Rattus norvegicus: one gene and its partners. The protein of the gene in region 1 interacts with the protein of each later gene in a pairwise test. Links are inferred from orthologs where the notes say so. Each region holds a gene or a part of one and is shown in the gene's direction. Other genes may lie near its edges.

Region 1 (3,747 bases):
TGCCTTTCTAAACCTCTTTGGACTCCCCCCTCAAAACTTTTCTTAGTCTGACTTTTGAGTCATGCTAATGTATTAATTTAAAATTTAAAAAGTAATTTAACAAGAAAACTTTATGGTAATCTTAAGGCAGGGGTTGTGCAAGAGACTAAGGTCAGAGAGTCTTAGCTTTCAGCCTAGGCTATATAGCCAGACTGTCTCAAAAATCCAAAAGGAATTGAAGAAGTGGCTCAGTGCTTAAGGATGCTTGACTCTCTTGCAGAGGACCCATTTTAGGTGCCAGCACCCACATGGCAACTCCTAACTGGTTCCAACTCCAGTTCTAGAAGCTCTGACTCCCTCTTCTGGCTTCTGCAGGTTCCAGGCATTAACCCAGCTGCACAGTCATAAATTCAGGCAAACATTCATACACATAAAACAAAACTACATAAACCCTTTAGAAACTATTAAAGATTATTTATTTTTCTTTTTTAAAGGTGAAGGTCTTTAATACCAGTTCTGAGGAGGTCGAGGTGGCCAGATCTTTGTTGAGTTCCTAGCCAGCTAGGGCTGAAGAGTGAGATCCTGTCTCAAAAATAATCAATTAATTAAAATCTTTTTTAATGTAGTAAGTTTTTTCAGCAAGTGGAAAAAAGGCCGTGGCTCCAATGGATTTCAGAACTCTTGTGGCTGGACTGTTTGGGTATTACAGAGAGATTTTTTTTTTCAGAGAGTCCCACTTTGTAGCCCAGACTTTTCTCAAACTCTTACTTCCCAAGTCCTAGGATTACAAGTGTCTGTCGGCTTCTCAGGAAGGTGGCGCTCACCCCACAGCAGTTGAACATTCTGGATCATCTGAGATACTTCAATGTCAAGCATTTAGTTTATAGTTTTTAATCTTCAAGTATACAAACTGTGCACTCTGAATTTGGCTCAGAAAATAGAGTCATCAGCGAAGCAAGCCGAAGGTCCACACCATTCAGTTATTAATGGTAATCCAGTTTCAGAACTGGAGAAAGGGCAGGGCTCGGGATTAGATTGTATCGTTGAAGAATAGAAGAGTAAGAAGCCAACAGTGAAAACTGCAGTGTAATGCTGGGAATCTGAGAGACGATGGACAAACTGTCCTAAAAGAGGACACCCAGCAATCATGCTATCAAATTCACTGAGGGATTTTCTAATTTTTGCTTACTTACTAAAACCCATCGAGTAAAATCTCCCCATTTTCACTACATAATATCCTTTCCCCTCCCCCACTACAGAATGCCTGAGTCCAAGATTCTAATTCTGTTTTGACCCAGTCTTTAGCTTACCTTCCTTGGATATCATCTGTTGGAGCTAGGTCATTGCCTGGATCCTGGACCCAACTGTTTCATCCTGGAGCCATCCAGACCGCCACTGTTGGTGTACCTAAACCCTGGGTTATGGCATCAGATGGATGTAAGACGAGGGGTGCTGGAGTGCGGGGTATCTGCGGTGTCACCTAGGGACAAGTCATAGGTCAACCTATAGGGATTTGAGGAATTAAACCCCACACAGGCATTAGGGAGCCCAGAGAAATAGATCTTTACCATCAAGAATGGGGTAGAGCATCCTTGGAAATGAACCAAAATCTGTCAGAAGTACACACTGAATATTGGGACTGGGAACCAATTACCAGTTTGATTCCCAGGAAGAGGGACCGCTTTAACATGCTTGGGGTGGAAACAGAGGTTTATGTTTTAGTATAAGTGGTGTTGCCATGGTTTCAAGGGAAGAGCCATAATCCGTGTCTTTTGACCTGCTCTAGGACTTCACCATGGGAAGAAGGCAGGGCCAACTCTCTTGATCACTCCAGGAAGGGTGGAGCAGTGGGATTGGGCCAGGCCGATTAATTAGCCTTTCTCAGAAAGCTAAAACTCAGTGGGGTTATTCATTTATGAGCCCGTGAACAGGGCTAGAAATTTTGTAAAAGTTTTTGTTCCCAGAGCGTGATGACTCCTCCTAGCCCCAAGGGTGCTACTTGTCAGTTCAAGCACCAGGCTTTTTTTCTCTTTGTTTTTTCTTTCATTGTAATTTATTATGCATCTGTCTGGAAGTTGGGAAGTCTAGGTTAAGTTTCCATCTAATTAGTGTTCTGGAGAGGGTCTTCCATAGACTTCCGTTTCTGAGCACGTGTGTTCTCTCTGTCTCAGCATTCTGTGAGCCAAATCTGCAGCATCCATTTTACTTTTTAGTTTGAGGCAAGGTCTCGCTAAGTTTCTCAGTCTGCCTTTGGACTCCCTCTGTAACCTAGGCTGACTTTGAACTTGTGATCGTCATCCAGAGTGGTTGTATTTATAGACCTGCATTTTTTTTAGAGGAAAGTTTTTTTTTTAAGATTTATTTTTTAATTTCATGTATGCGGCTACACTGTCGCTGTCTTCAGACACACCAGAAGAAGGCATTGGATGCCCATTACAGATGGTTGTGAGCCACCATGTGGTTGCTGGGAACTGAACTCAGGAACTCTGGAAGAGCAGTCAGTGCTCTTAACCTCTGAGCCATCTCTCCAGCCCCCTGCATTTATTTTTTTAAGTAACTGTATTAATTATTTTGTTTGTTTAGAGGTAGTCTTTCTTGCTTTTCAGATAGAGGAGATAGGCCATCTCAGCGACAGACAGTGAGATGCTTGGTTTTCCTACCTATTGTGGAGCTCAGACCTTAGGAATAGTTTCACTGTGTTCAGAACTTGCTGGTATTAGTCCGATTCTATTTCATATCTCCTTTATGGTTAGTAAGTGGAAGCTGAGTGGTACTGGTTTGTCAGTGGCATACTTTTTTTCTTTTTTTTTAAGAAAAAAGGAGGAAGTATTGAATGAAATTAGGCCAGTTTGTCTCTGTTTTTATCATTAAAAGTCATGCGGGACACGGGCAGGCCTTTTTAATGAAGGGTGCTTATCATCCCCCTCTGCCTGACCAGTGTCCACATAGCTGGTCCCTAGCAGGAGCTAGGTTTCTTTCTTCCTTAGCTCCAGCCCAGCGCTTCTTTGTGATCCCTAAACTTTTACTATTAAGAAGCAGGTCCACAGAAAGTCTGTGCTGCCAAATTTCAACTCATCCATGGTTGAAACTGAAAGTACTGGAAATCTCCCTCCCTCCAAGGTTCTTCTGTCTCTCCACAGTGACATTTCGGGGAACCAAGAATCTAGGCTGACCTTTTTCTGTCCTGGAAATTGTGCTTCTGTGGCTAGTGACAGGAGCCATAGAGCGGTTGGGATCAGGTGGCTTCCCTGTCCTGTGGAGTAGGTAGAGTTAGTAGAGATCCATGCATTTCGAGTGGGACTGTTTTTGGAGAAATGAGCTTCATGAGTCCTGGGGTCATTGAGCCTGTTCATAAACTGCATCTTCTGTTATTTGAGGAGATTATTAGGAGAAAGCGGTACAGGAAAAGGAGGAGAGGGATGGGCCAGTGTTTGTGAAACCACCTCCTTCTCGGGGGTCTCATGAGTGCTTCTCAAGAGCCAGGAATTTCGCCTGCACTCGGCATGCTTGCAGACTGCTTTTCCTATTTCTCATCTTCTTGATCTGCCTATGGAACTGGCAGGGAAGGTCTTCGGGAGTGTTATGAGAGACGCTCTTACAGGCAGGGATGGTGTCTCTTTGAAAGGGAGCAACTTCTCTAGCCTACTAGCTCAGGGGTAAAGGACTACTTGAGAGGCAATTGCAAATATACCCATCCATGTCCCTTCCTTCACATGTTGAGTCATTGCTCTAACCCCCTAGGGACTTAAAGGAAGTCAAATGGCCTAA
Region 2 (3,747 bases), on another chromosome or scaffold:
TCTTGTTTCCTCAGAGTGGAGGGTGTAACTCCTGCCTGTAATGTTTTCCAACTTAAGAGTTTTTCTGGAGGAGTTAGGGGAGGGACTGAAGGAGCTGAAGGGGCCTTATCTGGCATCAATAGGAGCCTGTGAAGGCTCAATGCCCCAGTGTAGAGGAATGCTAGGGTGGTGAGGCTGGAGTGGGTAGGTGGGTAGGTGGGTAGGGGAACACCTTCATAGAAGCAGGGTAAGGGGGCATGCAATAGGGGATTTGCAGAGGGGAAACCAGGAAGGAAGATAGTATTTTAAATGTAAATAAATAAAATGTCTAATTTTAAAAAGTTTTCTGTGGTTGCGAAAGCCTACGGTAAACAACGTTTGGGTTCAGCACGTCAGGCTCCTAAATCGATTGGATAGGGTGTATAAAGTCACACCATGTTTCTTGTTTATAACAGTGCTCTCCAATCTCCCCAGTCTGAACTCCTGTGTCATCCCTCCCCACCCCCACTCATACACACCCCCAGCCCTGTTTTCTTCCACACATGCCCAAGGTTCCTCGCCTGTGGAAAAGGCTGTTCCACTTTTCCACTCTGTTCAGCTTTCTCCCCTCCCAGATAAGCTTAGGCTTCAGCAGTGCCCTGTGCCACCCTGGTCCTGATCACAGGGAACTTCTACCTTTTTTCCCCTCAGGTTTCTCTCCCTGGCTGCCCCTTTCCCTAGAGCCTGCAACATTCCAGTCTTTCTCTTCCTTGAACATGCCTTAAGCCACACCTGGAGTAACAAATGCTTCAGAGTTTGATAATTTACTTAATGTCAACAAAAGAGAAGGAAAAAGTAAGCTGTAGAAACGCAGTCACAGAACTGCAGCCAACTTGGCTGCAGGACCCAGGTTCCCAGATGGACCCTGCCTGCCTGCCATTGCAGGCTCCACCTAACAAGTCAAGTGTGGACAATTGTAATTAGTAAGTCCCACAGACCCCCCCTGAGGTGTCAGGGCAAACTACCCCAGACTGTAGACAGCACTCTAGATTAGCCAAGGACTAGTGGCCTTGCTGTCACTGGACCAAGGCAGCCAAGCCTTGCCTACTGGCCCTGGAGCGCCTCCAGCACCCGGGAGGGGCCTTGAGGGAGCGCCCAGTCAGTCACCCCAGCATGTGGGCGCGGCGGGGCGGGCCAGGGCTGTGATCTGGACGCCGAGTGTCCTTCTGGGCCCGAGTGTTTGTCCAGACAGCCCGCGCGGCTGGGTCTCTGCGCGGCTGGGTCTCTCTGCTTGTCCTCCCTTCTCTTCCTGGAGTTGCTGTAGGCAATCTGGAGGTGGCGGCGGGTGCTTGGACCACCTTGCCCCGGGTCCTGAGCAGGTAGGTGACCGGGTCGGGTAAAACGCTGGAGCATAGAGCCAGGCAGAAGGGTGAGCGAGGAGTGGGAACCAGGAGATGCGTCTCTAGAGCGAAGGGTGAAGCACAGAGGACAGGGAGAGGAAGAGACCCTGGTTCCCGCGGCCAGGCTGCTCACCTGTCCCTCCGGTCCCTCCTCCACGGCGCTCAGGGCGAGCTCAGGTGCCCAGAGGAACAGACCACAACGGCTGCGGGTGTCCGATGTCTCGTGTAGGGTGTCCAGTGTCTGCAGCCGGGTCCAGGTGAGTGGCGGCCCCAAGAACAGAGGGCTTGTGATCATTATACTAAGAGTCTCCAGAGGGAGGAGAATCGGAGGCGACTTGGAGTCTTTCAGGAAAGTTGTCCCGTCCGGGCTGTGCATGCACACGCGGCGAGTGCTAACTGGCCTGGGGCAGGTGCACAGCGGGGGCCACCTGCGAGGGTCTGAGCCACGAAGAGGGTGCTGGGTGTCGGCTACAGTACCCACAAATCAGCGGAGGTCCAATCACTGGGCAGTGCCATGTGGTCTCCTGGCCCGGAGACCTTCCAGACAAGAGTCCTGAAACCGGTTTCAGCACAAGCAGAACTCCATTAGTAAGTTCCCCGCGCTCCCGCGGGCGCCCTCACGTGGTACAGAGAGCAGCGGGCTCGTCGTCTCTCTGTGGTTCTGGGTCAAGGCTCAATCTAGAATCAGCCTAGCCAGAATTTTCCTCAACAAAAGTGAGCCATTACCAACCGTTCCTGCCTTAAGGGGTTCATGGGCCCTAGGTGGAGGCACTCAGTGTTTATAGGTTTTCTCAATGTCTCTCTTTGCTATGGTCCCAGAGAAGCAGGGATGACAGCCTCTTGCTTGTGTAAAGAAACAATGTATTTATAATTTTTCTTATTTAATAATAAGTGGAAGAAATACTTAGGCGAAGATTTAGCACAAATAGGCTTTTCTAGGAATATCTATCTATGAAATACTTCAATCTTGAGAGTATTTACAAAACTTCCAGCTCCTCTCACCACTTGCAATTCATTTTGTTTCCAAAATCATCATGTAAATTAATAAGAAAAATATTGAGCAATTCAAAGCCTGACAACAGAGAACGCAAACTAAGTTCTTACCTTTAGGGATATATGTACTGTAAATACAGAAATATTTTAATGAAGGTAGTTGTACCCAGAGTTTAATTATTATCATTATTGTTATTATTTATTAGGCTCTGTATTAATTAAAAACAATTGTGAGGAAAAGTGGAAAGTGTGAAAGTCAGACAAGATCTACAGGTATCCTGAGAACTTAACTAAATTTTGGACTCTTCAGAAATTTTTAGAGTGAGTGACAGGTATGGGCTTGTTCCCTGCTAGTTGTCTTTTTCAAGAAAAATGCCACAGGAGAGGAAAAACAAGTTAACTGGGCTGTACTCTGTGTTGGACCACGAGTGACTGCACTCAGTATGAGACCCACACATCACCAAACAGTGATTGTCCGGTAACGTGAAAGTAGGAAAACCCCTGGCAGGTTCACTTCCTCCTTTTCATTTCCTGTACTTGTCTCAATAGCTTCAAGGCAGATTTTATCTCAGGATCCAAGAGCTACAATGATCCTCAGGTTAGTTTTATGGATTAAGAAACAGGGTCTAAAGATGTGAAGTGACCTTCCAAAGTCATGGGTCACTGGAGGCAGAACCGGGAATCTAAGCTGGTGAACCTGTCTGTAGCTGTGCTGTGGTCTGCTCTAGGAAAGCCTTGGAGAGCTGGTTAACTGACATCACTCAGAGCCAATCAGCAGTCCAGTTCGGTGCCCATAGTCAACAGCCACAGGCACTTGTTAGCTGGGTTTCTTTTGTATTCCCTGAGGCCACCAGGAACCACGGTATTTTCTTCAAAAGGGATTAAACTGGCCCTGGTGGTTAGGGTCTATATAATCCCAATTATTTGAGAAATAAAGACAGCCAGTGTGGAAAGTCAAAAGCCTGTTTAGGCTAGGTTATATTAAAAACTGGCCTGGACAATTTAGACTCCATCTCAAAACATAAAGTAAAGGGGGCTGGGGGTGCAGCTCAGCAGCGGAGAATTTGCTTGGCATGTGCAAGGGTCAGGTTTAATCCTCAGACCACAAAACAAAACATGCCAACCAACCTTGATGCTTGAAGTCTATGTTACACAAGCTACCCGAAGCAAAGCAGAACAAAGAAGAGAGTTGCGCACCTCTTTACTGGAGTACCAGGGAAGGGAATGTTGGTGGAACAAGGCAAGTGGAGAGTAAGAGGAAGACAAAGTCACCACTGGACCAATGCGGGTAGCAACTCTGTGCTCCTTCCTGGATGGTGTATTTTCTTCTGTGGCCTCTCTAAGCTTATCTACACTTGATTACCGTAGGCTTCCGCACTAGCTGAGGTATCTCCAG
Region 3 (3,747 bases), on another chromosome or scaffold:
GGGACATACAGAGAGCGGGTGGTCTAGCCTATCCTTGTGGAGCCCCCACAGCTGAAAGCCCTAGATTGAGATTCACTCCATCTGAGGAGCCATGTTGCTAAGCTTAGTGAGTTCGATCAGCTGCCTGCTCCTCTTGCTGCAGCTGCTGGCATTAGGCAGAGAAGGGATAGGTGCACTGTTTGCTGTCCGGGAGGCACTTTGAATAGGAAATCTGCTATTTGTTGTTTCCTGAGGGCAGGGTGTACCTCAGGTGTGCGGACAGCTTCAAATTCCGTTTGTTTTGTTCCTGGCCCTGGTTCATACTTGTAACAGTTGGTTTTGAAGAAGCAAGTTGTTGGCCCCCAAGTCACAAAGTTTCAGTCACTTCCAGAAGTAGGTCTGGTTTCCATCACTCTCTCTTCTTAGACCCCGTGCAGGCAAGGGTGAACTTGAACTTCTGATTTTTCCTGTCTCCCAAGTGCTGGAGTTACAGGCTGGTACCCCCATGACTGGCTTAATGTTTCCATACCTTCTTAAACTAATAAACGCCCAGCACTGTCTTTGGCCCTTAGCTAACTTTCTACAGCATGGCCTCTTTATAAGCGATTGTCAGAACCTCTGGTGAAGGGTGCAGTGTAGCCCCATCTCGCCTGGGGAGCATATGACAGTAACAGAAGCCCTTCTGCAGACCCACAGGCTGAAGGAGTGTGTGGCACCGGTGCTGAGCGTGTTGACAGAATGTGCCCGCATGCACCGTCCTGCCAGGAAGTTCCTGAAGGCCCAGGTACTTGAAAAATGAGACGGATCTGGGGGACCTGGGGATCCTTTATATAGGGCTCTGGCTGCTCCAAGCCAACACTTAGAGACAGCTGCCTCCCTAGGTCCTGCCCCCTCTGAGGGATGTGAGGACTCGGCCTGAGGTGGGGGACCTGCTCCGAAACAAGCTTGTCCGCCTCATGACACACCTGGATACAGATGTGAAGAGAGTAGCTGCTGAGTTCCTCTTTGTCTTATGCTCTGAGAGTGGTGAGTTGGGGGAGCCCAAGCCCCAGGCCTCCCCTGCCACAGCCATATTCACACATTGACCTCTGCCCTGGTCTTCAGTGCCCCGATTCATCAAGTACACAGGCTACGGGAATGCTGCTGGCCTCCTGGCTGCCAGGGGCCTCATGGCTGGGGGCCGGCCCGAGGGCCAGTACTCAGAGGATGAGGACACCGACACAGAGGAGTACAGGGAAGCTAAGGCCAGGTATGTGCTCCTAGTGTACACTTGGGTTCCCTCGTAACCCCCATCCCCCTATCTGCCCCTCCTCAACCACAGCCAGTAGTACGTAGGACAGGATAAGGAATGGATAAAAACTTGGGTTCTACTGAACTGAGAACAGGACCCCCGTTGAAGGAATCAGAGAAAGAACTGGAAAGCTTAAAGGGGCTCGAGACCCCATATGTACAACAATGCCAAGCAACCAGAGCTTCCAGGGACTAAGCCACTACCTAAAGACTATACATGGACTGACCCTGGACTCTGACCTCAGAGGTAGCAGTGAATATCCTAGTAAGAGCACCAGTGGAAGGGGAAGCCCTGGGTCCTGCTAAGACTGAACCCCCAGTGAACTAGATTGTTGGGGGGAGGGTGGCAATGGGGGGAGGATGGGGAGGGGAACACCCATAAAGTAGGGGAGGGGGGAGGAGGATGTTTGCCCGGAAACCGGGAAAGGGAATAACACTCGAAATGTATATAAGAAATACTCAATAAAAAAAAACAAAAAACAAAAAACAAAAAAAACTTGGGTTCTGATGACAAGTCATGTACTGAGGCCCAGTGAGTGAGCTCTCTGGGATCCAGTAGGTCTTGGGCAAGAGTTGTCTGCCTGGTGTTCAAGGGGGATCTCCCTTCTGAAGTCCCATCACCACCAAAACCAAAACCATGAAGGTGGGTTCTTGCTAACCCAGCCCTAGGCATGAAGATGGAGACTTGCTGCCCCACTGAGCACTGCTTTTCCTATAGCAGCACTAACCCATTTCTCATACACTGTTCCTGGGAATTAGCATCAACCCTGTGACTGGAAGGGTAGAGGAGAAGCCGCCTAATCCTATGGAAGGCATGACAGAGGAGCAGAAGGAACATGAGGCCATGAAGCTAGTGAACATGTTTGACAAGCTCTCCAGGTATGTTATGAGGAAGGCTTGTAGCTAGAAGACATGGGAATGATTCTGTTTTGTGAGCCCAAGGAGAATGGCTTAGAGATTCAGATCCTAGTGAGGCTGTATTGGGCATTTGAGATAACTTGCCCCAGAGGTAACCTTCTGGCAAAGAGAGAGGAGGGTACAGTCAGCATTGAGCCCTCTTTTTTAGAGGATGAAAATGAGGACAAGAATGTGAAGGACTGGCTAATGTCTCCAAGTTAATTAGGTGGTGGTTAGGATCCAGGCCTAGTTAATAGTTAACGCAGTCCAAGCAGCAGCCAAGAAATGAGCAAGAGCCCCTGCCCTGCACACTAGGTCCCTCCCCAACCACACTGTGTTTTCCCTGCAGGCACAGACTCATCCAACCCATGGGGATGAGTCCCAGGGGTCACCTCACTTCTCTGCAAGATGCGATGTGTGAAACTATGGAGGGACAGCTCTCCTCAGACCCCGACTCAGACCCCGACTGAAGATGGCAGCCACTTTGCTCCCCTTCAGAACTGGTGCTGTTTCCAGACATGCCTGGGGTGCTGCCTCGAGAAGCCACACCCCTCTCCAGCTGGGGAGCCGTTCTCTCTACTCCTCACATATCTGTCATCTGCCTTTGGTCCAGTTTCTTGTGTTTAGGACTGTGGTAGTCTTATCCTCTGTGAAGACAGGGAACCCACCTTTCATTTCCACAAGTGAAGTTGTTTCTTGGATGTGGCTGCAGCCATGGGCAGAGTTGCCTTGGCACATAAATGAGCGTGCATGTGTGAGGGCGGTAGCTGAGCAGGGTGCACACGGTGTAAGCATGGCTGGGCTGGTACCAGCCCAGAGCCCGTATGTGGGGCATATGCTGTGTTTCAAACATTCTAGAATCTGTTGAAATTGTTTAAGTATGTCAGAAAACACACCAAGCATCATGGTTTCTGCTTCTGGCCCCACTGAGCACAGGGTCAGTGGCCTCTTCTAAATTCTTGGTCCTGGCTCAGCCACCCACTGCAGTATCCACATACCCAAGCCTCACTGGTTGTGACCACTAAGTCAGTGACAACCACTGGTTTAGTAATTAGATGAAGGCAAAAGTTGTAAGACAAGGTAAAAATCTGAGATTTCTGAGGCACAGAATAAAGAGTTTGGGACAAGACTGTATATCTGTGAAGTAGCCGGGTGAAAGAATATTAAATAGAAACTGATTTCATTCTATTTAACATTCAAGATTTCCTAGACCACTACACATCTGCTTTCATTGAAGATCAAGGATAGAAGGCAAGACCCCAATCCCTGGAATCTTGCTGGGTCAGCTACATACTGTCAGCCGCAGTCAAAATGGGCTGTGACAGTAATGGGGTGCTTCTACCTGCAAACAGCCTAAACTTTCTGAGTAGGAGTCAGGGAGGAAGCAGCCTGTGCTTAGTCATAACCACATACAGGACGGGAAAACAGGAGCCCAGTGGGGTTTCCCAGAGTAATGCCTGCCGTTGGCTTTAGCATCGTTACTGGAAGAAGTCTGGGTGGAGTAGTGGGAAGTGCCTTAGAGAGGGGATTTAGCTCAGTGGTAGAGCGCTTGCCTAGCAAGCGCAAGGCCCTGGGTTCAGT

The links.
Region 2: the proteins of Nutm1 (region 1) and Sh2d4a interact in binary tests that used the Homo sapiens proteins (3 or more experiments, as listed by UniProt). The two-hybrid records come from large-scale screens. The link is inferred for Rattus norvegicus from reciprocal best matches to the Homo sapiens genes NUTM1 and SH2D4A.
Region 3: the proteins of Nutm1 (region 1) and Ric8a interact in binary tests that used the Homo sapiens proteins (3 or more experiments, as listed by UniProt). The link is inferred for Rattus norvegicus from reciprocal best matches to the Homo sapiens genes NUTM1 and RIC8A.

Annotation. Positions count from the first base shown.
Region 1 is NC_086021.1:119,516,253-119,519,999, reverse strand, and holds the start of Nutm1 (NUT family member 1), read left to right. Parts: upstream 1-1,290; 5' UTR 1,291-1,400; coding exon 1,401-1,416; intron 1,417-3,747. UniProt on the Homo sapiens protein: Plays a role in the regulation of proliferation. Regulates TERT expression by modulating SP1 binding to TERT promoter binding sites.
Region 2 is NC_086034.1:26,173,523-26,177,269, reverse strand, and holds the start of Sh2d4a (SH2 domain-containing protein 4A), read left to right. Parts: upstream 1-1,295; 5' UTR 1,296-1,337; intron 1,338-1,524; exon of another isoform or gene 1,525-1,615; intron 1,616-3,747. UniProt on the Homo sapiens protein: Inhibits estrogen-induced cell proliferation by competing with PLCG for binding to ESR1, blocking the effect of estrogen on PLCG and repressing estrogen-induced proliferation. May play a role in T-cell development and function.
Region 3 is NC_086019.1:205,367,749-205,371,495, forward strand, and holds the end of Ric8a (synembryn-A), read left to right. Parts: intron 1-667; coding exon 668-763; intron 764-860; coding exon 861-1,005; intron 1,006-1,083; coding exon 1,084-1,228; intron 1,229-2,028; coding exon 2,029-2,148; intron 2,149-2,515; coding exon 2,516-2,636; 3' UTR 2,637-3,354; downstream 3,355-3,747.